Linked DNA regions of Drosophila melanogaster. The protein of the gene in region 1 purifies or fractionates together with the protein of each later gene. This does not show direct contact. Each region holds a gene or a part of one and is shown in the gene's direction. Other genes may lie near its edges.

Region 1 (8,470 bases):
GCAATTTCCGATTTCGCGGCCATCACATTGTCCGCTGAGAAGAGCAAGATTGCCATCGAGAGAGCCTACAATATAATGGGCAATCCCTATCGTGAAATATTGCCACTGCACAATCCAGCACCAGAAGATACCGAGAGGATTGTGTATGCCAATAACTACCTCGAGGTTATTTTCACAAGCAAAAAAAAATGCCAATGACTACCAAAGACTATATAAGGCTTAGTTTAGTACACATAATACCTTCGACAATACTGACATTTGTTATTAAACAGCTGCTCGTCAAATACATATTCTAAGTTACCTGATTACTGCCACAAGTATCAAGTTAGATGCATTAAAACTACCCAAGACTGTAGAATAACTACAATTAGTTGATAATATCGAGAACAGTATTCAGTTTCGAACGCGGCTTTGAATGTCGCCCTTTAATTTAAACATGTTTGTTTATCCATTTACATTTTTGGTAATTCTTTAAGAATAAATTGTTTAACTAGTTGATAGCCTACATTTGTAATAAGTATAAATGCTCAGTTTCTCAATGCAGCCACTTAACTCTACGAGGAAAACGGTTACAATAACTTCAGAAGGGTTCTTTTTAGGATGTGGAAGCTTTGATCTAGAATGTCTTCTTGGAAATGACAACAATTAAATCGATTAACCAATAGAACGACTGGTGGAGATCACCCTCGCACAAGTACGGCGCCTTGGTCCATGCCTCCACGCGGTAGCCACAGTTCTCCAGCAGCTCCATAAACCTGGCCGCCTCCTCCTCGAACGACGCCTGTCGCCCGTTGTTCTCCAGCAGCGGGCGCAGCGGCAGATGCGAGGTATTCGTCTCCACGTAGTGCATGTAGGGAAGTACTAAGGCCACAACTGCTCGACCATTGGGAGCTAGTGCCAGGTGAATGTCCTCGAGCAGCTTGAATGAATCGAAGCAGCGGTCCAATACGTTGAGGCACAGAATCAATTCCAGGTTCTGCAGACCGTCTATCTCGGTGATTACGTTGAAGTTCAGCTTCTTCAGCCGATCGCGCATGGTCCAACTGGCCTCGGTGGCGAAGACCCGCAGCCCGGCACTTCCGCTCAGCTCGGAAACGGTGTTGGCCACGCGCAGCGAAATCTCACCGTCCCCGGCTCCGATATCCAGCAACGTGACCTACGATATGATGGCAGATGAGTAGTGGTCAAGACTAAAGGCTTTTACTCATCTTACAGGTTCTTGACCGCTGGCAGGCTGAAAGCCGCCTGCTACTAGCAGCTTGCGAAACTGTTCCTCGGACAGTATGAACATGGAGCCGCGCTTCAGGAACCCGTTGATGTCCGTCTGGGTCATGAAGAACTGCAGGATTGAGCGAGCCAGGGCGTGCCACAAGTGGGTCCAGATGTTTGCCGAAAGCGCCTTGGTGCGCTCCAGCCAGCTCACGGTGGTGGCATCCGGCTCGAGCGGCACGAACTTGGACTGGAATCTCGGCGGCAGCTCGTGGTTCAGGCAGTACCACTGAAATGCATCCAGAATTTAGGAAAAATCATATTGTTTCGGGATTTCGAGTTACCTTCCGAGTGTCTATGTCCTCCAGAGAGTTGTCGTTGTGGAATTTGGCGTGGATTACCCTGGCCAGGGTGCCGCGGGGACGATACACAGCCATGCTAACAGAATAGTCTATAATTGTGCTTTTATTTACATTTTCTACTTCTGTGTGTTTAACTTAGTTGTGCCATCATTTTTCCAGTTTGAAGAACTGGAGTACGGTATTTTTCCAGGGCTGGATTGCAGAGTTGCACTTTGATCAGCTGAATGCGATTGGTAAAGGTATATCGATATGTAGGCGTGACAGCCTAATGTAAGTGTATTATTATTTATAATGTATAATTTCAGAAATTAATTAATTAATTTGTAGCCGCATAAAAAAAATTAAAATATGATGTTATATTTGATTTGCCATTTAAAAGTATAAATACTTTGTAATATAAGGAAGACTTTTATATTTATATCTAATAATTGTACTACTCGCTCTGCAAACGAACGCACATCGTTCTCGACAACATTGACGCCTGTTCGATAACATTGGGGCGCGATGCACGTTGACATTTTATTTAGCTGTCGAGTAATGTATACAAAATAAGCGGCGGCTATTTTTTGTTATTTTAATGAAACGCATCAATCCGCGATGAGCACGAACGTTGTTGTGAGCATGGAGGAGAAGGCGGTGGCCGACGACCTGCCGTACTTCCCGGAGAAGTTTCCGGGCAAGGTGTGCTGTTTATGCAATCTCGGCGAGAAGAGTGCCTTGGGCCAGGGCGAGATTCTACAACTGAAGGCGCCCGCGCCCGCCGAGATCAAGGATAAATATCCGACGGATCGGCTGAGGGAGGACGGATCCAGGCTGTTATACGGGCCTAAGCAGGCCGCTTCTAGTTCGGGCGATTGTCACTACGAGCTGGACAAGATTGGACAGCCGGACGTCGTGCATCCCGCCGAATTTCTTGACGAGGGGTTCGTCTACGTGCACCGCATGTGCATCATGTGGTCGCTGCGCAAAAGTCAGATAAGCGATGCAGATGGCGCGTACTTTGCCACCCACTTCGCGGAGTTCCTGGAGCAAAAGTGCAACTTTTGTGGACGCTACGGGGCCTCCATCAACTGCAAGATGAACTGCCGCCAGGTGCACCATTGGCCGTGTGCCGCCGCTGCTGGGTGCCTTCTGATCCTCGAGAGCTTTACGGTCTTCTGCACGGAACATTTGAGCCAGGTGCCTGTGATATGTAAGTGATTCTTGGGCAGCAAACTCTCACAGAAACTAATGGAAACAAATGACTTACAGGCAGCGACAATAATGTGGAGTGTCTGTCCTGCTCCTCGCTGGGGGATCTGTCCAAGCTGATCATGTGTAGTACCTGCGGAGACCACTTTCATTCGACCTGCATTGGTCTGGCCAATTTGCCGGGTAACTACTGTCAAGTACCATCGTACCATTGGTTTACATGTTTACATGTTTAATGCTTCCATAGATACGCGTTCTGGGTGGAACTGCGCCCGTTGCACAAAATGCCAGATTTGCAGGCAGCAAGACTCGAACGACACCAAGTACGTTAAGTGTGAGCAATGCCAGAAGACTTACCACGCCTCCTGCTTGCGACCAGTTATCTCAGCCATCCCCAAATATGGCTGGAAGTGCAATGTAAGCAGATATTGACGGATATTAAGTGTTATCCAATACTTATGGTATTTATGTTCCTTCTAGCGCTGTCGCGTCTGTACGGATTGTGGTTCAAGAACTCCTGGCGGCGGCAGCTCCTCCCGCTGGCATAGCCACTACACAATCTGCGATTCGTGCTATCAGCAGCGGAACAAGGGCTTTTCCTGCCCGATTTGCCAGAAAGCGTACAGGGCAGCATCGCACAAGGAAATGGTCAAGTGCAGCTGGTGCAACAAGTACGTTTCACTCGCTTCTGCCTGATTAGTCTTGCTTATTATATGGATTCGTTTCAGATTTGTGCACAGTACGTGTGACGAAGAGGCGGATTTAACGGCCTACCACAAGAAGAAGGAGCAAAACCCAGATTACGACTACGTGTGTCCGAATTGCAAGAGTAATTCGTCGGGCCCGGGATCATCCCAACAGACAATCGACTCGATCGTGCTGTCCGCCATGGATTCGTCGTCGGAGCAACTGAGCCTCAAGGAAATCGAACTTGACCCGCTGGAGGGCAAACCCACAATGGATCCATCGAGCGATGAGCTCCACAAGCTACCCACCGGCAAGAAAAAAGTGTGCCTTACGAGTGTTCGCGGTAGAAGCGGAAAGTTCGTCCTACACCGCATGGGTGTGATGTCGCAGATCAACAAGAAACGCAGCACCCGAGGCAAGGGGCGCCAGCTTGCGCTGCCCACCATCTCGAGCGATCGCTGCCTGAGTCGCAGCATGGAAACAGATCTGACCAGCGACAAAAAGCTGCTGCTCTGCTCGGCGCGGGATAAGTTTATCCAAGCGCAAGACATCTGCGTAATGTGCGGCTCGCTGGGCATTGAGAGCGATTCCGTGATGATCACCTGCGCACAGTGCGGCCAATGCTATCATCCGTACTGCGCCGGCGTGAAGCCTTCGCGAGGCATCCTGCAGAAGGGTTGGCGATGCCTGGACTGCACAGTGTGCGAGGGATGTGGCAAGAAGAACGACGAGGCGCGCCTGCTCCTGTGCGACGAGTGCGACATTTCGTATCACATTTACTGTGTGAATCCTCCGCTGGAAACCGTGCCCACGGGCAACTGGAAGTGCTCGTTCTGTACACTGTGCCAGAAATGCGGTCGCAATCCCACCGAGAAGAGCGAGTTCGGGGACTCCAACATGCTCGAGTGCCCATCCTGCACCAGCCAATCCTCGTGTCCCGTCTGCAAAGTCTCGTACAGCAACGGCGAGATGATCATCCAGTGCGAGCACTGCGAGCTATGGGCGCACTTCCACTGCGACTCTGTCAATGCCCAGCTGACCATTGACCACTACGACAACAATGTGTACAAGTGTTTCAAGTGCCGCTGCTCGACGAGGAGCACTAACTCCCTGGCGGATGCCAAGTTTGGTAACGAGGATTCGCTGGCCATAACTCCCCAGGGCAGCAAACCATTTGTGCACATCACAGCCTCCTCCGGGCCGTCTTTCGATTCTAAGAGTGGTGCCGAGCGAAATCATCCTACCTTATCCGGCGATATGCCCGAGTCTGCTCCAGAAGCGCTCCACTGGATTGACGGAGTGTGCCTGAGCGAAAGCGGATTGGGCATGATCAAGTCATTGTCCACGGAGATCAAACGCAAGCGCAAAATGCGACAAGCCCTCGGCAATGGCAAGGATGGACAATTGGAGGCCGCCGCCGAGGAAGCGCTGGAAAAGTACAAAGACGGCATGGTCTGGGATGGGACGGAGAACGCTATTCCCGAGGGTTTCACCATCTCCATTAACGACGAGGGAGTGAACATATTACGCAAGAAGCGACAGCGCAATCTGCAGAAGCTGGGCATTGGTGGATTCTCCGTTCGCAACCGAGGTCTCAAGAAGGACAGCGAGGAGACGACGGCCGTTGACCAAATAAATTCCCTTATGACCATGGACAAAAAGAAGAAAATCATACGAAAGAAGCAGAAGAACAAGCTGATTGAAGCCTATCCCGTGTACTTGCAAGAGGCCTTCTTCGGAAAACCTCTGCTGGAAGGTGGAGAGCTTGTCATGGCCGATACAGATTCCTCTGACGAAATTGATGCGTCCATGAAGGTTTACTTCACGCGGCCCGAGGGCAAGAGTCCTGCCAACCAGGACACACTGGCGGTGAACAAGAGTCCAGCGAAGACCGTGAAGAAAGTTAAAGCTGAGTTGAAAACTGAGAACAAAACTGTTTTCATTCAGCAAATGCCCATGGGAATCCAGAACAAAAACGGAACGACGCCAGTGTCTAATGTTTTTGGTAAATGTTTAACCAACCCACTGACCACTTTATTCCCAGGTTGTATCGTTTACCATTTTTGCAGATCCCTTGCAAGCGGAGATTTCGAACACTGTCTTTGCTAACCGGCATCCTTTGGATGCGTTGGCTTCACCAAATGTTCCGGAACTGGACATGGCTAACTCTGTTAGTACGGTTCCATCAGCTGAAGTCATTGAAAAACCAATGCGGTGAGCCTCATGTCCATATGCCAGTCTATTCTAAGCTTATTAATTTGTTCTTTTTTCTTTCTCAAAGGGAATCACCTGCGGTCCTGGTCGACAGTTTCATGGTCCCCAACCAGTTGCCACAGGAACAGAAGTTTCACAATCAGCTATATTTGGGCGGAAATACTTTGGTTAATCCCGCCCAGCAGCTTCAGTTCCGTCAGCAGGCACCACAAAATGCCAATAAGCAGAATATGCAAACTATAATGAGCCAAGTCGTTTTGCAAACCGAAAAGAGACCAGAGGAGGAGCAGAAGGTTGTGGAGCCCGTGACGGAAACCCTGAACGCTGGCACTCAAAAGACGGCGGAGAAAATGCGCAAGGATGAGGGTATGAGGGTGCATTTAAATAGTGTAGGATTCAAATGCTCATCACCCCATTTGTTTTGCAGATCTTGGGCTCATGGCCACCATTTCGGCCGTGCTGTATGCCAATACTGAGCATCCCAACCTGAAGGAGTTGTTTCCGATTTGGAACGACCGCTGCAAGCAGATTCTGAAGAGGTGGCGCTCGCTGTGCAACGAGAAGAAGGCGCCGTTCTTGCAGAAGGCCAAGGACAATCGCTCAGCACTGCGGCAGAGGCGGGAACAGAACAAAATACCTATGCCACCGAAACCACAGAAGCAGGAGGAAATGGGAAGAGTGTGGAAACAACCGCCCAAGCTGAAGGAAGACCAGCCGAACATGTTTGTCACGTACAGTAAGTGCTGCAGCTCAAGACTTGTTTTAGTTGCTCTAACCCTTGTTTTTTCGTCTAGATGGAAACGCCTACGATATGGGCAACTATGTTGGTGGCTCGGCGCAGGCAGCGTCCAATAATCCCAATCCGCATCACGTGATGCCGAACGTTAACGATAATCTGGTGATTAAGGCCACGATGCAAAGGACTCAGGTGCACACGACAGCAGCCAGCACCTTGAAAATGACCACCGTGGACAATAGGCTGGAGTTGAACACGGCGGTGTACGGCACGGAACCCATTGGCGACAAGAAGCTCAGGAACCTGCTGCAGAAGAACAGCACGGAGCCGATGCTCATGGGGGCCAACTCGGACTTGTTCTTGGGCAACGATGTAATGCGGCTGGGAATGATGCAGAACACACCCATTACGCAGAACAATCCCATGCTGAGCATAAGTGGAAAATCTCAGCCATCTGAAGGCAGGTCCTTGGAGCAGGATGTGAAGTTGGGCGAGCCGCAGGAGGCAACCTCTTCCGCCGTGGAGTTGGAGAATGTCGGATTCAGCGACCTTCTGGGAGGACTCGGCGAGGGCGACGACGACGACCTACTCAAGTCGCTCACTTCCGAAATGGGAGACGACTTCAATATCCTGGAGTACGCGGACCCAGAACTGGACGTCAATGTTCTCAACTCCCTAGATTTTGATGACAATGAAAAGTGCTCTACATAGGAGAAGCGGAATCGTTTAAATTGAAATAAAGAAAATGCAATATTTAATAGAAAGCGCCACTTTTGAATGCAGCCTCTTTTGGCGCCAAACCCCATTCTTCATCGATTGCCGTATACCATATCGAATTTGTATCTCTTCGGCACAGAAAACTGGTTTTCTACGCGGTTTGCACTGTTGTTACTTTTTATTTTCAGCTAACCATCCAGATGACCAGATAATGCAGTTGTTCAGTAGTTTCCACTCAATCCTAATTGTTTGCTGTGTTCTCTTAATTGATGGAACGCACTCGAAACTGAATCTTAAATATGCCATTTTGAGGCAAAAGCAAGCAGCAAAGGCAACGCAAAATGACACTTTGGGTATGGATGTGGGAGAAAGTTTCTGCTGGACGAGCGTATCATGTCGATGTTTTTGTTTATGAAGCCCACCAGCAGAGAATCAAATATGATGCCCAGAAGACCATGAAGGTGATGTTCTACAAGAACAACACCAAAACCATGGAGACTTCGGCCTACGACGATGCCTACGATCTCAGTGGCTCGGGTTGCTCGCCCACGGACAAGTTTGCCATAGTTCTGCATGGATGGATCCAAAGTTGTTCGGACGAGTGGGCGCTGTCGCTTATTGAAAGTGAGCATTTTTTGCATTTTTTTCAATGCCAAAGTTGAAAGCTACTCGAAATATGCATTTTAGGACTCAGTTACTACCGCGGCGGATGCGTGATATGCATAGACTACAGTGTGGTCGCCAGTTCCTCGTACATGCGGTGGGTAGTAGTAGTAGTCTGACCCCAAATTCTCATTATCCGACTTTTAAAGGCTGTACACAAACTTTGACACCCTCACCGGCGCCATATCGTCCATTATCCTAACACTGTTCAGGCAGGGATTCGATCCAAAACGAGGCTATATGTTTGGCTTCAGCTTCGGCGGACAACTGGCTTCGGCGGTGGGAAGATCCCTACGGCCACACCACATTATCGAGAGCATAGACAGTCGGTATCTTGAGCGTTATCTTAGCCACACCCAGTAATTATTGTATTGAACTGCAGCGTGCGATATGGCCGGACCCGGGTTCGATCCCATTGCAGTCGACCACTCCAAGGCCGGCAAGCATGTGCAGTGCTTCCACTCGAGCCGCGACAAGGGCACCTTCGTCTACTCCTGCCACCGCAACATAATGCTCGGCAGCTGCGGCCTCAAGCAGCCCTCGGTGGCCAGTCAGCTTCACCTGGGCAGCCATGGTCTCTGCGTCGACATATACATCAACACGTTCGACTATCCCTTCTACGCCGTGAACTACACACCGCCGGAGTGCTTCACCTGGCAAAAGACGGCCAAGATACCAGATGGCTACACGG
Region 2 (6,028 bases), on another chromosome or scaffold:
AAAGATGCATTTTAGATGAGTTCCCGATTAAAGCGAGCAGCAGTGAATCCACTTTTGCAGGACTTCAAGGTGTCGCACCATCTGCCAGTTGACGGCTGGCGGAGATTGTAAATCCTCTCCACTAATCACAATATTCCCTATCATTCTTTGCCCATCTCGTTTGTTCACAGGATATGATACTCTACCAATAGATTCGATGCAGGGTCTGGAGATCAGCAGCCCAGTGGGCGGCGGCGGTGCTGGCGGTGCTCCCGGCAATGGTGGAGCTGTAGGCGGAGCTAGCGGCGGCGGTGGTAACATCGGCGCCATTCCGCCTAGCGGCGCACCAACTTCGCCCTATTCCATGGACATGGACGTTGGCGAGATTGATGCCGGTGCATTGAACTTTGACTTGGACGCCATGCCGACGCCACCCAATGACAACAACAACCTGGCTGCCTGGTACGATACCGATTGTTAGACAAGCCGAGCTAAGGGTAAGGGTCGAGTATCCATTCGACCCCATAACATAAAACACACGAATTCCCATCCCTGCACAATAGCCCTCTTCCACCGGCTTTGATTCCATCCCGGATCCCGGAATCGCGATCACCGAAACTTGACTAGATCAACGAAGGTGTGGATTTTACTTGACAAATACGAGGAGCTGCGGCAGGTCAAAGTTCTGCTTCCAGAACTGAAGTCCGTGGGAGAAGGCTATTTGCTCACACACCATACCCCGCGACAAAGCATACACACACGCATACATGCATAATATTATACATTTATTATAATGCGAACGAAACGGCAAGAAAAACATATTATATGATGCATTACATATTACCCACGTAAACGAAATGGAAAATTAAACAAATGTTTGCAATAGAACTCGTACATTTCCCTTCATATGGCGTTTTTCTTATTTGCTCCACAATTGGGTGCCGCAGAGTCACGGCTTGGAACAACGAGCCCTAAGTTCGAAGTTCGAACCTACTTTAAGATATTTCCAGTTTTCAAAAGTACTTGAAACAGTTTCGTAACAGATTAACGAAGGATGGCTTTATTAATTGAAGCTATACATCTACAGGTGCTTGCCGAACCACTTGTGGTCCACGGGCGAGAGCCAACGGTGGCAGCCGCTGAGGTTGTTCTGGATCACGTACTTCATGGTAAAGGGGTTCTCATTCTGGCGGGTCTGTTCCTCCTCGGCGACGCGCTGTTCGTCGAGCATCTCCTGGGAAACGACGGTGGCCTGGAAGGGCAGCTGGTTGGCCACCTGCTGCAGGAACTGCTTGACCTCAACGAACTCGCACTTGCCGGCTATCTCGACAATGACGCGACCGGCCTTGATGGGGGTCACGTAGTGGTCGATGGCTCCCTTTCCGCCGCCCATCCGTTGGCCCTGGCCCTTCTTAGTGATCGGCTGCCAGGGTGCGGGAACGCGCCATGTGGCGAACATAGTGTTGACGTTCATCTTGCGTCCGATGGTCAAACGCATCATTTCGTAGTGGCCCCAGCGCAGGCGCCCTCCGCCAGTGGCCACGATTGCGTACTGCTTATGGAGCAGCGTGTTGTGCACCATCTCCGGACCGCGCATGTATCGCAGGCGCTTCTGCATCTTTGGCGGACGGATGTTTGGCGGCAGCTGGGGCTGGCGCTCAATGACCCTCAGCTTGGGTCTCTCCGGCTGCTCCACATCTGGGGGTTCCCACATTCATTCATTTATTGCTCTAAATTCATTGTGCACATTTAAATGCAACTACTTACTCTGGTATTTAATAGGCGGAGCGAAATACTTAAGACCGGCTGTGTTGACAATTGCCATGTTGCCCGCTGCAAAGAAAAGTTTAAGTGGTTTGTTGCAAACTGTTATCGGATTGGATGTGGCTAGGCAGGAAGCGCCACTGCAACTTACACGCAAGGCTTTGCTTAAAGAGCTGGGAGACTAACTTTAATGAGAGCATGGTGAGTTTATGTCAAAATATATTACTTATTTATAAAATTGTATTGTGCAAAGATGTGTTGCATCAACGGCCACCGTTGCCAGATCGAGCTAATAAATGTGGTGCTAAAAACATATATCGATAGACCACCGATTGGTCGAGTGAGCTGACGGCCCTGTCCAGACTATGGTTTATTCTTGCAGTTGAAAATGTGCCATATTGCACGTGGAACACAATAATTATGTTATGTATTAAAAACTTCTGAAGTTAACGAAAAATGATTGCTGTACAAACGTTATTCGATTGCAACCGCCATGGCGATATGTTGAAATGGGATGGGAAAAGTGGTGGGTTTCTGAGTGGAAAACCAGGGATGGGTAAGAACGTTTCAGGGTAATGGTCGTTTTACCATCTGGTAACACTGCTCTGCATACACGAAAATAAAATTTTTTTGACTAATCGTGCATGTTTTCGCTCGGTAAAAAAAAAAGCAGGCCGCGCGAGCCCTAGCTAGCTAGACCGCCGCCCTTCCCGTCCCACGAAACGCAGCGCATCGCATCCGGCGTTCCGCGTTTCCACTTGTGTGTTTGTTATGAATATACCGAAGGTGACAACATCGCTTGGTGCCGCCGAAAAGGCGAAACCCGAAAGAGTAGCATCCGTGGCCGCCGCTGCCTTCAATGCGGTCAGCCTGCAGAAGCGCAGCGGCGACGACACCGCCACTCCGGCGGAGGATCCCACGCGCAAGAAGGCCAAGACGGAGCTGCTTCTCGGAACTGGAACGGCAGCGCCCAGTTTGCCCGCCAAAGCGTCGAGCACCGCGCCGCAGCAGCTCCTCTACCAGCGGAGTGGACAGCAGGCTAAGGCGCAGGTAAAAGCTGCGTCGGAGCCGCAGGATGTCGAGACGGCGGACGGCGTCTGGGACGCCCGCGATCAGCAGATCATAGTGTGCAACTTCGGCTCCGGCACTGAGATGGGTGCCATCAAGGCGGAGGACGCTGACAAGCAGAGTGAGTACAGAATCAGCACTCCAAGGAACAGTCAATCTAACCCTTTGCTACACCGAAACACAGCCTTTACCAGCTTTACCAAAAAGGAGGGTGCCTCATCGTCGGCCTCGTCATCATCGTCAACCGCGTCCGTCATTTCCATCGAGCCCAGTGGCTCGGGGCAGGATCATGCTGAAAACTCCGGCAAATCTGAGGACCTCGACTACGTACTGATGCCAGCCAGCGGCGCGGATAGCTCTACATCTGTGGGTAACTCCACCGGAACGGGAACACCAGCAGGAACGCCTATTGGAGCTACTACCTCCACCATTATTTTAAACGCTAACAACGGAACGGCAGGAGTCAGTGGAGCCGGCACCACTACAATCCTCACACAGAAATCCGGTCACACGAACTACAACATCTTCAATACCACGGCCACTGGTAGCCAAACGCCCACTACAACATTGTTAAACCGGGTGAATCTTCACCCCAAGATGAAAACCCAGCTGATGGTTAACGCCAAGAAGCTGTCGGAAGTAACGCAGACCACGGCGAAAGTGTCGATTGGCAACAAGACTATATCGGTGCCGCTGCTCAAGCCGCTGATGAGCGCTAGTGGAGCGGCCACAGCCGGAGGAGCCACGATTGTAGAGAGCAAGCAACTGCTGCAGCCGGGCGGTCAGGTGACTACCGTAATGAGTGCTGCGCAGCAAAGCGGTGGTCAGCAGGTCCACCCGCACGTCCATTCTCATGCACATCACAACTTTACCAAACTTATCAAACGCGGGCCAAAAAATAGCGGCACCATTGTCTCGTTTTCGGGGCTACAGATCAAGCCGGCGAACACCAAAATTGTGGCCACCAAGGTGGTGAGCAAAAAGATGCTGCAACTTCAGCAGCACCAACAACAGATCCAACAGCAGCAGCAGCTTCAGCAGCTGCAGGTGACCAGTGGTGGAGGCCTGGCTCCGCCCACAGGCAGCATAGTGACTATCACCACCACCAACCCCAGCCAAACGTACGCAATGGTTCAGGATTCCGCAACTGTGGGACCTGCGGCCCATTCGGAAGACGATGCGCCAGCGCCTCGAAAGATTACAGCCTACTCGGAGAACCTTCAAAAAATTCTCAACAAGAGCAAGTCCCAGGAATCGACTGGAGGCCCGGAGGAGTTCACCAACATCAACAGCGTGGTGATTAAGCCGCTCGACAAGAATACACTCAATTGTCCACCCAGCTTTAACATCTTTAAGCAGCAGCAGCACTCACAGGCTGCTCAAAGCCAATCAATCTCCGCGGTAGGCAGTGGAGCAGGCACACCCGTGACGTTTACCATGGCTTCGGGGAATGCCTCAGATCTGGCCACCACCTCCACCGTTTCCGTTTCGGCGGGGACCATCTGCATAAACAGTCCGATGATGGGCACGCGGCCAATAATCTCCATTCAGAACAAGAACATATCCCTGGTGCTGTCCAAGACGACCATGGCCCAGCAAAAACCGAAGATGATAACTACAACCACGTTGTCCAGTCAGGCGGCGCTGCAGATGCATCATGCTTTGATTCAGGATTCTAGTGCAGACAAGGCGGGATCTTCTGCAAACTCCGGATCAGCTACCTCGGGAGCTTCAATGCAGCTGAAACTAACGACCGCCAATACGCCCACCAAACTCAGCGTTAGTCTGGCTCCGGACGTAGTCAAGCTGGAAGAAGTTGGCAGCGAATCTAAAGCAAAGCTACTGGTCAAACAGGAGGCGGTTGTGAAGGATAGCACTGGTACTCCGACCAGTGAGGAGCGGGCTGAGGAGATCGGCACGCCGGAGAAGCGTTTGAACGCCAATGCCACAATGACGGCTATTAACCAGGTTCAAAATCAGTCCGCCAATCAAATTCAAATGGCCACATCTACCTCAACTGCCTCGAATCCCAGCACACCCAATCCTACAGTGAACGCCACACCTATGAACAACCAACGCTCGGCAGCGGAGGATAATGCACTTCTAAAGCAACTGCTCCAAAACAACAGCAGCAGTCATAGCCTCAACCAGATAAGCATCACTTCGGCTCACGTTGGTTCCGCCTCAGCTTCGGCACCTCTTTCCGCCCGCAAGGTTATCAACGTACGGGCGCCCAGCATGGGGAAGGTCAGAAGTTTGGAGGATCAACTGGCACGTCCGGTGATTCCTCCGGTGCCCACTGCCACGCAGGCGGCAGGTAGTAGTAGTAGCAGTGGATCTGTGGCCACGTCCACCACCACCACAACAGTAGCTAGCGGAGGAAGCAGCCAACAGGTAGCCACCGCCTCAGCGACGGCTCTACCTGTTAGTGCGGTCGCAATTACCACACCAGGAGTGGGAGGGGAGGCAAAGCTGGAGCAGAAATCCGATCAGCCAGCAGCAATTATGCAGAATCAGAGCCAAAACCAGGCGCCTCCACCACCACCGCCACCACAGCAGCAGCAGCAGCAGCAACTACACCAGCCGCAGCAGCTGCAACCGTCACCCCACCAAGTCAAGCAGACTGTGCAGATTGTGTCGAAGGAGACGTCGTTCATCTCAGGACCCGTTGCTGCTAAAACACTAGTGACGGAAGCCACTTCGAAGCCGGCTGAACTACTACCTCCTCCGCCTTACGAAATGGCCACTGCTCCTATATCGAACGTCACCATATCCATATCCACCAAACAAGCGGCTCCGAAGGAACTGCAGATGAAGCCCAAGGCGGTAGCTATGTCACTACCCATGGAGCAGGGCGACGAATCGCTGCCAGAGCAAGCGGAGCCGCCGCTTCATTCGGAACAGGGAGCTACTGCAGCGGGAGTTGCACCTCACTCCGGAGGTCCCCTTGTGTCTGCGCAATGGACCAATAACCATTTAGAAGGAGGTGTAGCCACCACAAAGATACCGTTCAAGCCTGGAGAGCCTCAAAAACGCAAGCTCCCCATGCACCCACAACTGGACGAAAAGCAGATCCAGCAACAGGCAGAGATTCCCATAAGCACCTCCCTACCAACAACTCCGACTGGACAAGGTACTCCCGACAAAGTACAGCTGATCTCAGCGATTGCCACTTATGTAAAGAAATCCGGTGTCCCGAACGAGGCACAACCCATCC
Region 3 (7,125 bases), on another chromosome or scaffold:
ACCCCTTAAAGACACCAGATCGTGGCTCTGCACGACTGTAATTCTACTTGGAACCGAAGTCATTCCTTAATTGTTTATCCACTACTCTCAGCACAAACATTCCATTCCAACGTAGGCCTGTGTAAATGAACCTATTGTTAGTCCCATCACGACCATTTGAAAGAACATAAAAGCAAATCGAATATGAAGATAAATAAAAATATAATTGTTTACATAAATACAAATGCACTTATTAATGATGTTTAAAATTGGTGGTTGCTTAAATCTCCAACAAAATTATGCTTATGTTGCACTTTGCAGTTTTTAAAGCAAGAAATACGGGGCTAATCATATTTTGAAATGACGTGCTCTTTGTTCTCAAACTGCGGAGCTGAAAGTTTGCCAAGCTGATAGTTTAAATGAACTTTAGGTTTCTGGATTATCGGATCATTAAATGTTCGAATCTTGTTACGGAGCTTTATCTCACATGGTTTTAGCTGGGCGTAGGCCATCGTTGCCCCCATTTAGCGGCTCAAATTCCCACATTTGTGGGGCGGGTTATTAAGGTGGGCTGGCACTGGAGTGCGGCAGTGCAGGGGAGTGCTCGAGAGGGCCGACGAGTGACGACAAGAGGAGGACCGAGTGGAGTGTACTGTGGCTGCCTGGACGCTTATCAGCAAAACGCTCGATTCAGCGACTTGCATTCATTCAGTCCCCTGTCACCGGCCGAGCAACAATACGGCACAGGGAGATCGAACCTGATTGGATCGGAGCGAATCGAATCGACCTAGGTATAAGTCAACCGGAGCGGAATGGGCCGTAACAACGTCATCTGCACGATCTGCTCGGAGCGGTTTCGCACCTCGGACAATATACAAGCCGGCAGCTGCGGACACGCGTTCCACGAGGACTGCCTAGACCACTGGAGAAAGCAGTAAGTAAAAGTGATCCTAAGGACTTGAGAGCTATAACGAAAATGAAATGTGCCACTGATATAATATTCTAATTTATGCACCAATCAGAAATGAAAATGATACAAAAGTGATTTAAATCAGTGGCAGTGCCCCAAATCTTATCGCCGAGCTCAAACGTTTTGTCTTATACGCGGATTCCGTCTGCTTTGCAGATCAAGGACTTGCCCTATCTGCCGCAGCCAGGATGCCGCCTACTTTCAGCTTTATCTGGACTTTGAGGAGTTTCCGGAAAGTGCATCGGCTCAGGGTGGCAGTTGGGGCGGCCATAATCGGAGCCAAGGTCACAGCAGCAGCAGCAGCAGCTGCAGCAGCAACAACAACAACAGTAACGACAACAGCAGCAGTGACGATTATATTGGAATTATGAGGGAGTACGAGAATCTACTTTACGAGACGGGCGTGTACCGAGAAGAGATCGAATATCTTAACCAGCGGATCGGAGCCCTTACTGTCCTCAATGCTGAACTCAGCAAACTACATGAATGTTCGGATTCGGATGTTGATTAAAAGCCGTAAACAAACAAACGAGTCGCATTTGCTTATCGTACTATTCGCCTGAAAACCAATCAAAACCGAATATTTGCGAAACCGACAGGCAAAACGTAATAAGGCTGAGCTAAACAAAAGAACTCGATACATTTCATTATAAAGGAAGCGGTAGGTACAGGGTTAGCAACTAAAGGGTTTGACAAGATAATAGACCCAAATAGAAATAAATTGTTTAGGGCTGAGGCCCCAAATTGCGATATCAGAAAATTAAACTGATAGAAAATATCACATATTAGTGTATTTTTTGTATACCAATAATCAAATAAATATTAAGAATATATGTCCTGAATGTCAATTTTGATGTGAAAACTCTATTTCCATTCCCTTAAACTGTTTTAAAATAAGCTTCTTAATTTGATAGTGTTAAGCAAATTTTTTTCTATATAAATTTTGAATCTCCCATTTTTGTTCTAAACCGGTATCGAATTTTAAGGCAGATGTTAGGGTGCTCTTGAATTACTGAATCCCTGCTTCTTGGTCATCGCGGAAATTCATTTTTTAGAAATTTACTGCGGTCTAACTATCGCATAAATATATAAAATACATAAATATCCATGACGGATTAATTTTCAGATTTTCTGACCATTAAGCGAAGTGGAAACAGCCTATAATGTGCCATTGTTTTTTACCGAACCAAGGCAACTCACCGCGACAGTATACTCACCACAGACAAACCAGTTCTTCGCCCCCCGCAATCGCTTTCTCACCACGCTGTCAGCTGTTGTTTCGCGAAATGCTTCTTCTTGCGAATGCCAATTACCGCGTCGCGTCTCTTTGTGATGATGGGATGGACTCAATTACTACAATTACAATAGAGATTGCAACAAATTAAATCAGCGTCGTGTGGTGTTGTCGTGTCAGTGACGTGCCTGTGTGTGTGTGTGCTCGCGAGCACTGATAACTGATAGCCAAGGAAAAAAGTAAATAAACAACCGTCACCTTGCGGCGCATCAAAAGCCACTGGCTGCAAGTAAGTTGCACTTCCATTTGCATTTCGCCCAATTCTGGTTCCGTTTGGTCTTGGGATTCACGGTTCAGCAGCCTAACCGCTCGATTCTCGGCGACGGCGTTTGCGATTTGAGGCCGAGGTTGCCGCCGGCAGCGGTGAAATTGGCGCACATTCACGTCTCCATTTTGCATTTCTATTCTGCATAATTGCAGCGGCGCTAAATTATTTGTGCACTGTGTGGTTTGCAAGGCGGTGAGGAGGGGAGCCAGACTGACTCAGGGTTGCATGCGCCGTAGGTGCGGTGAGTTTTGCAATGGCGCCGCCAGGGCTGTCGCTACTCCCGTTTTCTGGTTTTCGACTAAATTAATTAATTGATTGATTGCGCATTGGTTATCAAAGTAAAAACACTTATTTTTGCGGCAGGTGCGATGGGCATTAGCGCTTTAATTGGGTCATTAACGCCCACTTAAAACTGTTTCTGTGAGTGGGAAAACAGCCCTGTCCACTTTGTGGTGAATTAGAGATGCGATTGCGCCCAGTCACGAATCCGTGCTTCAATTGGGAGACCGATATATGTACTTATGTCGTGCATTAATTAAAAAGAGGAGTATGTAATTTTATAGATGCGTTATATACCATATGACTTAAGGTAATACCATCGCCGTTGTTAATTTTATACAGTGTTTAACAGTCGTGACTGTGACTCGTGACGACGCAACCTGTGTCACAGTCCATCCCTACGTTGGTGAGTTGCGTCGCTGTGGTGAGATTGTCTTTGTTGAGAAAAAATGTCGACGCGAAAAAAGGTATTTATTCATTAGTCAGAAAGTCTGGCATTCTTTGTTTGTTGGTAAAAAGCGCAATTGTTTGGAGGCGAGCGAATAAAGTGCGCTGCTCCATCGGCTCAAGATTATGTAAATGCAGCAACGACCCCACCAACAACGAAACTGCAACCTGCTCCACTTGGCCCAACGGACCAATAGCGGACGGACGGACACGGTGGCGTTGGCAAAGTGAAACCCCAACAGAGAGGCGAAAGCGAGCCAAGACACACCACATACACACGAAGAGAACGAGCAAGAAGAAACCGGTAGGCGGAGGAGGCGCTGCCCCCAGTTCCTCCAATATACCCAGCACCACATCACAAGCCCAGGATGGACAACTGCGACCAGGACGCCAGCTTTCGGCTGAGCCACATCAAGGAGGAGGTCAAGCCGGACATCTCGCAGCTGAACGACAGCAACAACAGCAGCTTTTCGCCCAAGGCCGAGAGTCCCGTGCCCTTCATGCAGGCCATGTCCATGGTCCACGTGCTGCCCGGCTCCAACTCCGCCAGCTCCAACAACAACAGCGCTGGAGATGCCCAAATGGCGCAGGCGCCCAATTCGGCTGGAGGCTCTGCCGCCGCTGCAGTCCAGCAGCAGTATCCGCCTAACCATCCGCTGAGCGGCAGCAAGCACCTCTGCTCTATTTGCGGGGATCGGGCCAGTGGCAAGCACTACGGCGTGTACAGCTGTGAGGGCTGCAAGGGCTTCTTTAAACGCACAGTGCGCAAGGATCTCACATACGCTTGCAGGGAGAACCGCAACTGCATCATAGACAAGCGGCAGAGGAACCGCTGCCAGTACTGCCGCTACCAGAAGTGCCTAACCTGCGGCATGAAGCGCGAAGCGGTCCAGGAGGAGCGTCAACGCGGCGCCCGCAATGCGGCGGGTAGGCTCAGCGCCAGCGGAGGCGGCAGTAGCGGTCCAGGTTCGGTAGGCGGATCCAGCTCTCAAGGCGGAGGAGGAGGAGGCGGCGTTTCTGGCGGAATGGGCAGCGGCAACGGTTCTGATGACTTCATGACCAATAGCGTGTCCAGGGATTTCTCGATCGAGCGCATCATAGAGGCCGAGCAGCGAGCGGAGACCCAATGCGGCGATCGTGCACTGACGTTCCTGCGCGTTGGTCCCTATTCCACAGTCCAGCCGGACTACAAGGGTGCCGTGTCGGCCCTGTGCCAAGTGGTCAACAAACAGCTCTTCCAGATGGTCGAATACGCGCGCATGATGCCGCACTTTGCCCAGGTGCCGCTGGACGACCAGGTGATTCTGCTGAAAGCCGCTTGGATCGAGCTGCTCATTGCGAACGTGGCCTGGTGCAGCATCGTTTCGCTGGATGACGGCGGTGCCGGCGGCGGGGGCGGTGGACTAGGCCACGATGGCTCCTTTGAGCGACGATCACCGGGCCTTCAGCCCCAGCAGCTGTTCCTCAACCAGAGCTTCTCGTACCATCGCAACAGTGCGATCAAAGCCGGTGTGTCAGCCATCTTCGACCGCATATTGTCGGAGCTGAGTGTAAAGATGAAGCGGCTGAATCTCGACCGACGCGAGCTGTCCTGCTTGAAGGCCATCATACTGTACAACCCGGACATACGCGGGATCAAGAGCCGGGCGGAGATCGAGATGTGCCGCGAGAAGGTGTACGCTTGCCTGGACGAGCACTGCCGCCTGGAACATCCGGGCGACGATGGACGCTTTGCGCAACTGCTGCTGCGTCTGCCCGCTTTGCGATCGATCAGCCTGAAGTGCCAGGATCACCTGTTCCTCTTCCGCATTACCAGCGACCGGCCGCTGGAGGAGCTCTTTCTCGAGCAGCTGGAGGCGCCGCCGCCACCCGGCCTGGCGATGAAACTGGAGTAGGGTCCCGACTCTAAAGTCTCCCCCGTTCTCCATCCGAAAAATGTTTCATTGTGATTGCGTTTGTTTGCATTTCTCCTCTCTATCCCTTATACCCTACAAAAGCCCCCTAATATTACGCAAAATGTGTATGTAATTGTTTATTTTTTTTTTATTACCTAATATTATTATTATTATTGATATAGAAAATGTTTTCCTTAAGATGAAGATTAGCCTCCTCGACGTTTATGTCCCAGTAAACGAAAAACAAACAAAATCCAAAACTTGAAAAGAACACAAAACACGAACGAGAAAATGCACACAAGCAAAGTAAAAGTAAAAGTTAAACTAAAGCTAAACGAGTAAAGATATTAAAATAACGGTTAAAATTAATGCATAGTTATGATCTACAGACGTATGTAAACATACAAATTCAGCATAAATATATATGTCAGCAGGCGCATATCTGCGGTGCTGGCCCCGTTCTAAATCAATTGTAATTACTTTTTAACATAAATTTACCCAAAACGTTATCAATTAGATGCGAGATACAAAAATCACCGACGAAAACCAACAAAATATATCTATGTATAAAAAATATAAACTGCATAACAAGATATATGGTCGTTTTATCTGCGGATCTGCGATTAATCCCATTGTCCACACAAATATATGGCTTTATTTGCGTATATAAGCGGTGCGTTTCAGGACTGTAAGAAGAAATCGAGTGACTTTCTCGAAGGCGGAAATGTATATACATCCATGCCTATTTGCGCGGATGTTTCAATATTTCAGTTTTATTATTATAAATCATACTATGTTCTGTTCCGCCTAACAAGTTTTGTATTACTAGTTAAATTAGTTATTCTGCCGGCCCCTTGGGTGGCTTTCTTTTTTTTTTTAATATATCTGTGATATAATTAGGTGGAGGTAATAAATAAAGTTCACTGCGGAAACTCTTCGAAAATAGCCAGTCTAAATTTAATTCATTTCATTCAAAAGATGATCCCAACGATTTCACGATCTTGTACTTATAATGTGTAAAATGTTAACCAACTAGAAATCCCTTCTATTGTGATTATGAAAGGATCGCTTTTCGCTTTCGAACCGCACTGTACGCCTTGTTCGCGTCCCCTAGGCATTGATTTTTGGTTTGTGGACCATCGCCTGATGGTCCCCACTCCTCACCTTGATGTTGCGGCCTCTCAGATGGCATTTGGTCAATTTTTATAAAATTTATGTCTCAGCGGGAATGTATGTTAGTATGTATTTACAAAAATATGGTATTAACGCACAAGCAGCGACTAAGAATAGATATTGTTTTTGAAAAAAGAACAAAACTCGCCGCTGACGACGCACATTATGTTCTATAAATAGCCAAATTGAGGCTCTATCTCTTTCTATATCGTTGTATCTTATCTGTATATCTCGCCCCAAAGGAATATCTGTAAATTGGGACAAGTCGACGGATACAATACTTAGCCGTCGGAGATCCTGGCTATTTAACATGAACGTATTCTCAGATTCTCCATTCACACAAATGATCTAGAGCTTTTGAAAGCTCCCACACAGAGTGAAAGAGAGGGGTAGAATGTTAGAGAGAGACGGCAGTGTGTCCACACTTATTGTGGGTGGTTTTTATTGGTTTAGCTAATAGCTATCCTTGATTTTGTGTGTGGCGAGCATATTTAATAAATTTCATAAATTTCATCTCTCTCCACCGACAAGAAGAAGCCCACACAAATAGTCCTATGTAGCAGCGTGTTAAAAAATGTGGAATGAAAAATGAAATGTTTCGCACGGAAAAACCATGAAAGCATGCCAATAAAATCATGTGTCCCCTCCCCTCCTCCTCCAAATACCCACCACCATTTCCTTCGACGATTTGCGATTTCGTGTGTGTATTGGAAAAGAGTTTTCGAAGCGAAATTAACAATTTGCTATTTTCGTAGTTATGCGGGGGCGTTTGCCAAAGACCCACGAGGGGACTATGGGTGGATGCTGTCTGAACCGCGGA
Region 4 (8,735 bases), on another chromosome or scaffold:
AGCAAATTATATAAAAAGATAAGCTATATCTCTCGGCATCTGTGCATCTGAGGTTGCTTACTATCTTAAACGTGTAAGGAAACCGTGAAGACAGTCAAGATTCTCCCGCCTGCGTAGCCAAAGATACTATGATTTCGGTAGCTCTGATTATCTTGTGCTTTTTTCCGTTCGTGCAAAATGAGTACTTTCGTCCTTCGTACCAAGTCCTTGTGCGCAAAAGGAATACTCAAGGAGATTTGATCGACGGCCATTGCTATGGCAATATCATTCAGAGTCGCTTGGTTTTAACATCAGCATCGTGTTTATTGAGTGATAACGATTTCGTAAATGGTAGGGAATTGTTAAATGCTGATGAGTTGGCGGTATCATTCAAAGGCGAAGATTTGAACGAGTTGATATACCTCGTTGGTGGCATAGACGTATATCCGCAGTTCAATTTCTCATCGTTGGACAATGATATAGCGATCCTAAGTCTCAGTACGCAACTTCCGCTTTCCGAGCGAAACGATATTGAATGGGTTTTAGTCGCTGACTATGATATTACCGATTTTCCATTGGAGGAGGGTGTGGAATCTTACGTAAAAACATATCCTTTTATGTGAAAAACGATTTTATTAATATTAAAATTACTACCACAGGTTTGGAAAAATGCGGATGGAGAAAACATATATCCCGGTTATGGTGTTATTCATGAAAGTAATTTAGTTGGAATCATTTCCTATGGCTTGCCATTGAAAAATAAACGGGAATCTAATCTTGAAGTTCGGCGCCCAAATAGGTTTACGCAATTAAATCCATATTTAAGTTGGATATATACAATAATACAGAATACAGAGATTGCGGACATTCAAAATAACAACTACAGTGTATCTCTACCTTATCGTCAAAGAAAAATCGCAGAAATAGGTAATGTAAACCGAAAGTTATTTGCTATATTTATTTTGTTGTCAAAAGTAGTTTATCGTTTGCGGATTAAGAGAAACAAATAGTTTCGTAGAAACTTTCCTCTGCTTTCCCGAGAAAGATTAACTGCATTTTGATAAGAATATTTCTATGATAAAACTAAAAAGATCCACTTTTAGCCGGAATTTTAAGGTCTAAAATTTATAACGCTTTTCTTTTGGGAAGAAGGGTTATCTTAACACATTTATCAAAAATCAAATAAATATCAAAGGTACTTTACTAAAATTTTTATAAATCCATCAGGAATTTTATTTTTCATTGTTATCTAATTACATATAATTAATTAGTACATTTTTAAATATTTTTCAGTGGAGGAATTCGTTGAGCCTGATGCGGTGTATTTTCCAGACCCAGCAAACCCCAGTAAGTCTAATTTATTCAGTTTTATTTTCTAAAATAACTTTAATTTGAATATTTAATTTCAGTTAAAGATGAGATTGAAACTGAGGTAGAAGATTTGACGGACTCAGAAACTGGTAAGAAAATGAATACGGCTGTTCTACTTCGTAATTACTTTTACAAAATTTTTAAATTTTTTTGTTTTTCCTTTGCTATACTTATTTACCGAGTAATTGTTTTTAGATGCTGTAAACGTGGAAAGCGTCTCAGAAGATTTTTTAAACACGGAGGACCCTTGTAAGTTAATTCATTGTTCTATTGATATTTAAATATTACATTGATTGTTTGAATAATATAGTTTTAATTAAAAACTACCTAAAATTTTGTTTATCTTTCAGTTAATGAAAACATTGAAAGTGAGAAGGAATTCCTAAAAAACCGAGCAAACACATCTAAGGCCAAAGGAGTTTGTGCATGGATATTCACATTTAATTTTCTTCTAGCGATAACTCGCACAATAAATTTCCATTTTTTTTAACTAAATTTTCAATTTATTTTTTGATCTTCAATAAGATCAGTTTCCATAACTTAAATGTATATTTTATCTGAAAAGTATCAAAAGAACTGCATTAAGATTCAAATTTTTAAAACATAAATTGTAAACAGCATCTGTATTGATTTGGTGTATAATAAATTGTTATCAGCTAACGCGAAAATAAAAATTATTTGGTCACAGTTTCCCACAATTTTCCAATCGTTCCAGTTCCGTTATCGATTGCGCAGTGAGAAACTAACTTCAAAAAAGGCGTGACACGTCGACGATAGAAAAATGTATCATCTCTAAGAATATTTTAGTGTCATCTCTAAACTAAAAATATAAATAAAAAAATATTTTAAAAACTACGCTGTATTTTGCCCACGCTTCTAAAACCCAGTAGATTTAACAGTTGGTTTAAAAATGGGGCAACTAACTTTCGAAGATGATTGCCTGATCCGCGAACTGGATAGGTACGATTAATGCCACCCGCTCGAATCTTGTTTAATAATATTTACGTTTCAGTCGATACTACGGCTTTTTGGATTTGTCCAATTCGAAAAATGCGGAATTAAGGAATCTCGTTCAGCAGACCATCACAAACTTACAAAACTACATTGCAAATGGTCAGGTTCACGAATCAAAGAACAGCAGTGATAATAAAAATGCTATACAAAAGTTTGAGCCATCAACTCAAGCAGGTGAACATATGGAAAACACATCTTCCCGAAACAATGACGACACCAAACCTTTCGAGCAAGATGCCAAGGAAAAGGTGTCCATCATTGAAGAAAAACACCAGGATGAACACTACGTTAACGCTCTTTGCAAACTTGGCCACCTGCATCTTCTTCTTGGCGAATACTCCGAAGGTAAATACATAAATCCAGATGCACATGTCCAGATACAATCAGTGCACTCTGCAAATGACATCTATAGGATATATAGGATGCTTGTAGTCCTCACAAATTCATATATTGTGAATATCTGGTTCTTTTACCTTACATAATGTGTCAGGTGGAACAATTGTTTCCAAACTCGGGAACATAGTTGTAGAATGCCGCATTAATGACACACTTTAACATTAAATACTGCTAAACTGCAGAGTACGACGCATAAATAACATAACACTTCAATCCATCACGAGAGATCCTGAAAGAATTGAGTTGTTTTTTAATATCTTATTCTTTTTGTAGCTTTATCAGCGTACCAAAAGTATTTAAGATTCCGAGAAAACAATTACTGGACAAATCATGCATTTATCTATGGAATAGGCGTTGCTTATTTTAAACTTCGGTGCTTTAAATGGTAAGTTTACTTATCTTTTTAATATTTTAACTGCTTAAATATATTTGTTGTATTTAAGAAATATCTTTATGCTACGTTCAAAAACAATTAAGTTATATTTAATAATTAAAACCCATTACATGCGATTTTGATATGAATCGTTTAAACGTAGATGCATGTGCAGTGGAAGCACATTTATTTATCAATTGTAATCATCGATGGCTCTTATCGATGTATACGTTTCGCTTTCATATCGTTCCCATTTAATCACGATATCGCGCCTGTCACATCCCTATTGTATTGATATTAAATTGTTTACTAAATAGATTCTACACGAAACAACACTGCCACTAATATTATATATATATTTGTAAACAATTCACAACGAATTAAAATTAAGACTGCCGAGATTTTTTCGAATAAAAAAAGTGCGTTTACTGGTTAGTTTTGAATCTTTTCATAGTTGTCTGGGTTCTAAAGAAAAAAAAAACAAATGGATGCTGTAAACATTAACACTTACAATAATAATAATTAAACCGATGTAATATTGCCAAAAATTAAAATGAATATATGTGTTTTCATTGTATTCCTTTGTTTGTTTTTGCAAATTCGCTGTTATAAAAATACATAAATTCTCGTTACATGCATGCATGTATGTACACGGTGCGTGTGTGTGCGTGTGTCTGTGTACAAAATGCAATGAGTGCCCCCCTTTAAGGTCGTTAGTTGAATTGCGGGGTAAAATGTGTTCTTTGTTTAATTTTATTAATTTCGAAAGCTAACATTTAGGCAGACCGCGTCCGACGCAAATAATCAATGATTCTCAGTGCAATTCTATCTGATAAAAAGCCATGAAACGGTCTGTCTCGTTTTTTTGAGTGCACGCAGACATGTCTGCCGACACGACGGCTGCAAGTTCTATTGTTATTTATAAACAAAACCTGCATTTTGCAGGCATATTTTAGGAGATTAACATTTAAGTTTACTGTTGTGCACTTATCATCGGAGTTCTAGTTTAATTAAGTATGTTACTTGAATTTGTTTGTTCAAATGGTTATTTGTATGTATGTATGTACATACGCGTGCATGTGTGTACGTGACTGCATGCACATAAGTATGTATGCACTTATGTAAACACCGCTCACTGTAAACAATTACTATAAATTAAATATAAAACAAAATTTAATAAATTAAAATAATACATTCAAGTTATAACAAATAATTCAGAACAACGAATAAAAAAATTAATTTACTTACTTTTTTCCAGGGCCATCAAATCGTTTCAGGAGCTTTTATACCTAAGTCCCAATTTTACATGTGCAAATGAAGTTCATTTGCGTCTAGGTCTTATGCTAAAACACTGCGGGGAGTTCCATATTGCCCTAAAACATTTACAATTGGCGCTGCTTTATACATATCCTTCGACCTTTTCGGAACTTCAGGGTAAGATCTATTGAATAATTATAAACTTTTGCATATAAGTTTCATGTGTAATTAAAACTGTGATCTGAAAAGGTTTTTCTGTTCTTCAGTTATTTACTTATCATCTTAAAATGTTATCTTATTATTGATATATAAACAACTTATATGCAAAAAGTCCTCATACATTGAATTATCAAGTAATACGATGAAGGCAAACTTCTATGATTCATTCAGAATTTAAATATTTTGCAGTACGTTCACCCCGTGTCTTAAACTTTATTCATTATTAATACTTTGCAGTCAAATTTCAAATCGCGCATTTGTACGAAGTTCAAAACAAGCACAAGGCGGCAAAGGATGGCTACGAATTTCTTCTAAATGAGAAAAACATCTCCTTGGAGCTCAAAGCAGATGTTTATCGACAATTAGGTAAGTTAAAAAGTTATATTTTAAGCTGGTAGAGACATAACTTTTTATTGAATCCTTATAGGATGGATGTACCATTGCGTAGAATGCCTAGGCGAAAAAAAGGAACGTGAAGCAAACGCATTAAATTTTCTACAAAAATCAATCGAAGCTGACCCAAAGAGTGGACAATCATTATATTTACTAGGAAGGTGTTACGCCGGCATCAATAAGGTTCATGATGCTTTCCTAGCATATCGCAACTCGGTGGAAAAAAGTGAGGGGAATGCTGATACTTGGTGCTCAATCGGGTAAAATAACAATGAATGTGTTTAGCTTGGCCCCTATCTTATTTGTATTCTACACATGCACTTCTAGCGTCTTATATCAGCAACAAAATCAACCCACGGATGCCCTTCAAGCCTACATATGTGCTGTGCAACTGGATAAAGACCATAAAGCCGCGTGGACCAACCTGGGTATACTTTATGAGAGCTGTGGTCAATTACGAGATGCCTATGCTTGCTACTTAAATGCAACCAAACAAATATCATTCCAGGTAAATTTATATATGCAATTGTAGCCATTTCCAATACCTAACACACTTGTTTTGCTTGAAGAAGTCTTCGTTAATTCGAAAAAAACAAGCAATACGTATGAAAAAGGACACAATTGGACTGTCGAAAGGCCTGTCTCAGAGAATCACTTTCCTGGAGGGCCAGCTCAGTCAAGCACCATTGCCAAGTATTACATCCAAGCGCCGCCAGCTGTGTTCAATCGAAGAAGCTTGGAACCTGCCAATATCATTAGAAATGAACTCTCGCCAACAACAAACAGCGCAGATGCTACCAAGACAGGTCACAAAGCAAAGTCCAGTACAGGTGAATTCCTTAATCCTAAACCAATCAGTGGGCAATCAACTAAATCATGTTTTTAAACAGGGACCGCCACCACCTTATCCGCATAGCCAACTCAGCCAAAGTCCCATACCTTCGAAACGTATTAAGGAAGATGGCACAAGCCAACAAGAAGTAACACAAAACAACAGTCAGACATCAGCGCAAAATCTAATAAGTAAGTGACCAATTTAAATAGTATATATCTTAAAGTATTAAATCACTTTTTAACACTCCAAACAGACATTTCGGAATCTTTAAACCAGCGCAACTTCAACGCCATGCCGGAGAGCAACAAAAGTTCGGAGCAAAGTGTTCTTGACACCTTCGACGACATCTCGAATGATATTTATAAACAGAATGAGAGCATCAAGCTCGAACGTTTGAGCCAGGATGCACTGAGTAACAATGAGGACTCGAGGCATGATTTTATTGGCGGTGACAACGCCGACATCTCGACCACGTTCAAAATACAAATGGACTCGAAGCAGTTGATGGTAGCTGTGAAGCTGCTGCCGATTGATGAACCGCCCGTGCACTGTACCATTTTGCAAGTGAATGCGCCGCCGCCATCTCCGCCCGATTGCCCACCGCAGAAACTGACGCGAGATCAACTCCTGCCTCCCACACCCTCTGTTCATTTAGAAAATAAGAAGCACGCGTTCAGCCCACAGTTGCAGGAGTTTTGCCTGAAACATCCGATTGCCGTTGTACGCGGCTTAGCGGGCGTCTTGAAGCTAGATCTCGGTCTCTTTTCGACCAAAACGTTGGTGGAAGCCAACCCGGACCATAGTGTTGAGGTTCGGACACAAGTGCACCAGTCTCCCGATGAAAATTGGGACACTTCGCAGGGTAAGCGCGTCTGGGCCTGCATTTCCCATCGGTCTCACACAACCATAGCCAAATATGCCCAATATCAGGCATCCAGTTTTCAAGACAGCTTGAAGGTAATGTTCGTTGGGTTGGTTCCTCTTTAACATGAATACAAGTTTACTTTATCGTGTAGCTTATTTTACCGCAGGATGAAAGCGATAAAGGTTTCCCCGGCTCGCAAGCAATGTCGGATTCAGACTCAAAGGACTCGGTATCCAATTCGAACATTGTTCTCAAACGTAAAAAACACAAAATAAACAGCAAAATGTTGAGGTAATAGAAACTCCAAACCATTTATGTCTGCATTACGAACTTTATGAACATAAATTAAATGCTTATTTCGCTTTTTTTTTTAGGTTCGGGACCAACGTGGACCTCTCCGATGAAAAGAAATGGAAACCACAATTAACAGAGCTACAAAAACTGCCAGCTTTTGCGCGAGTTATATCCGCTGCCAATATGCTATCACACGTGGGCCACGTCATTTTGGGCATGAACACCGTTCAGCTGTACATGAAGGTGCCCGGAAGTAGGACGCCTGGCCACCAAGAGAACAACAACTTCTGCTCAATCAACATCAACATCGGTCCTGGCGACTGTGAATGGTTTGCCGTCCCTGACGCCTACTGGGGCGGAGTTCACAATCTTTGCGAGAAGAACAACATTAGCTATCTGCACGGCTCGTGGTGGCCCGTCCTGGAGGATTTATACAAGGAGAATATACCAGTTTATAGATTTATACAAAAGCCCGGTGACTTGGTTTGGGTGAATGCCGGGTAAGCACTGAATATGAAAGGAAGGATGATGTATTAACAATCAAACCTACTTTCAGATGCGTCCATTGGGTTCAGTCGATCGGTTGGTGCAACAACATTGCGTGGAATGTTGGACCCTTGACTGCCCGTCAGTATTCTCTTGCCATCGAGCGATATGAGTGGAATAAAGTGCAGGCCTTCAAGAGCATTGTGCCGATGGTGCATTTAAGCTGGAATCTTGCAAGGAATATTAAAGTGTCTGATACCAAACTTTTCGAGCTGATAAAGTGAGTTAGCAAATGATAGGAATCACCATTATGCAGATACTATAGGGCATACATATGTAATTTGTAATTTTCAGAATGTGTTTGCTGCAAACGTTGAAAAACGTATTGCACATACAAGAGTATGTCAAATCGAAAGGTGTGGAAATACGTTTCAATGGACGCGGAAAGAACGAAGCATCCCATTACTGCGGACAATGCGAGGTATTTAGCGTAGTATTATTAACATATTTATACAGTTTCCAAAGGTGATATGAATGCAGTTTATTTAATCATTTGTGCACTCTTTGCAGGTTGAGGTTTTCAATGTGCTGTTCATCAAGGAGCAGGAGAAACGACATGTGGTCCACTGCCTATCGTGCGCGCTGAAGCTATCTCCGTCGCTCCAGGGAATCGTTTGCCTGGAGGAGTATCGTCTGTCTGAGCTGCAGCGCGTGTACGATTCGTTTACTTTACACAGAACCCAAGGACTAGCATACACTCAGTAGTTGTAATACGAGGAATCATTTTAAGTAATGCAGATTTAATATATGTATATTTTACAACGTACAATATACTCTCTATTGTTTTGATAAAACATAACGGTACGAATATATAGAGATGGGATTTTTCGAATAAAGCCATCAGAGCAGTTTTTTCGGCTATTATGTTTGATAGTCGAAAAAACTGGAGCCCACTTGAGTAGCGAAACTTACCTTATGATGACAATTTTATTATGACTTCAAATATTTAGACCCATCTTTTATAGTTTAATTTAAAAAAAAAAACTTTAAATTTATCCAAAGTTTAGAATGCGTTTTAATTATATATATGAATAAATTTAATTTATAATCTTTCGCAATGACACTGAAATTAAAATCCTTCTTTTTATTGAATTGGCTGTTATTACTTTAGTACCTAAATAAGTTACAGTGTAGAGAGCAACGATAACTGCTGTAAACACGATAAATCAATTGGTTGATATTGGTGTAGCCCT

What was found.
Region 2: the proteins of Lpt (region 1) and trr purify together in Drosophila melanogaster (affinity purification with western blotting, with the first as the bait; 2 studies listed by BioGRID). This does not show direct contact.
Region 3: the proteins of Lpt (region 1) and usp purify together in Drosophila melanogaster (affinity purification with western blotting, with the first as the bait; one study listed by BioGRID). This does not show direct contact.
Region 4: the proteins of Lpt (region 1) and Utx purify together in Drosophila melanogaster (affinity purification with western blotting; one study listed by BioGRID). This does not show direct contact.

Annotation. Positions count from the first base shown.
Region 1 is NT_033778.4:23,896,502-23,904,971, forward strand, and holds Lpt (lost PHDs of trr), read left to right. Parts: upstream 1-2,059; 5' UTR 2,060-2,168; coding exon 2,169-2,763; intron 2,764-2,822; coding exon 2,823-2,945; intron 2,946-3,009; coding exon 3,010-3,179; intron 3,180-3,242; coding exon 3,243-3,433; intron 3,434-3,490; coding exon 3,491-5,454; intron 5,455-5,518; coding exon 5,519-5,663; intron 5,664-5,730; coding exon 5,731-6,029; intron 6,030-6,090; coding exon 6,091-6,399; intron 6,400-6,457; coding exon 6,458-7,110; 3' UTR 7,111-7,160; downstream 7,161-8,470. Other genes in the region: CG17658 (uncharacterized protein), read left to right, coding at 1-198; CG5339 (uncharacterized protein), read right to left, coding at 617-1,156, 1,214-1,498, 1,554-1,646; CG13562 (uncharacterized protein), read left to right, coding at 7,328-7,469, 7,534-7,740, 7,804-7,876, 7,929-8,104, 8,162-8,470.
Region 2 is NC_004354.4:1,886,262-1,892,289, reverse strand, and holds the start of trr (trithorax-related), read left to right. Parts: upstream 1-2,339; 5' UTR 2,340-2,514; coding exon 2,515-6,028. Other genes in the region: arm (armadillo), read left to right, coding at 171-460; mRpL16 (mitochondrial ribosomal protein L16), read right to left, coding at 1,061-1,677, 1,747-1,812, 1,895-1,943. UniProt on the Drosophila melanogaster protein: Histone methyltransferase that acts as a coactivator for the ecdysone receptor during development. Specifically trimethylates 'Lys-4' of histone H3, a specific tag for epigenetic transcriptional activation.
Region 3 is NC_004354.4:2,037,394-2,044,518, reverse strand, and holds usp (ultraspiracle), read left to right. Parts: upstream 1-2,207; 5' UTR 2,208-2,472; exon of another isoform or gene 2,473-2,651; intron 2,652-2,874; 5' UTR 2,875-3,058; intron 3,059-3,132; 5' UTR 3,133-3,605; coding exon 3,606-5,132; 3' UTR 5,133-5,721; downstream 5,722-7,125. Other genes in the region: CG4325 (uncharacterized protein), read left to right, coding at 792-913, 1,106-1,460. UniProt on the Drosophila melanogaster protein: Receptor for ecdysone. May be an important modulator of insect metamorphosis. Plays an important part in embryonic and post-embryonic development. Binds to ecdysone response elements (ECRES) such as in the promoter region of s15 chorion gene.
Region 4 is NT_033779.5:10,272,224-10,280,958, reverse strand, and holds Utx (Utx histone demethylase), read left to right. Parts: upstream 1-2,147; 5' UTR 2,148-2,260; coding exon 2,261-2,310; intron 2,311-2,362; coding exon 2,363-2,709; intron 2,710-3,033; coding exon 3,034-3,145; intron 3,146-3,407; exon of another isoform or gene 3,408-3,564; intron 3,565-3,797; exon of another isoform or gene 3,798-4,147; intron 4,148-4,391; coding exon 4,392-4,567; intron 4,568-4,846; coding exon 4,847-4,975; intron 4,976-5,036; coding exon 5,037-5,262; intron 5,263-5,329; coding exon 5,330-5,510; intron 5,511-5,571; coding exon 5,572-5,832; intron 5,833-5,892; coding exon 5,893-6,025; intron 6,026-6,090; coding exon 6,091-6,794; intron 6,795-6,853; coding exon 6,854-6,993; intron 6,994-7,076; coding exon 7,077-7,496; intron 7,497-7,552; coding exon 7,553-7,762; intron 7,763-7,836; coding exon 7,837-7,963; intron 7,964-8,052; coding exon 8,053-8,247; 3' UTR 8,248-8,332; downstream 8,333-8,735. Other genes in the region: CG34043 (uncharacterized protein), read left to right, coding at 129-578, 639-906, 1,273-1,326, 1,389-1,439, 1,546-1,599, 1,701-1,840.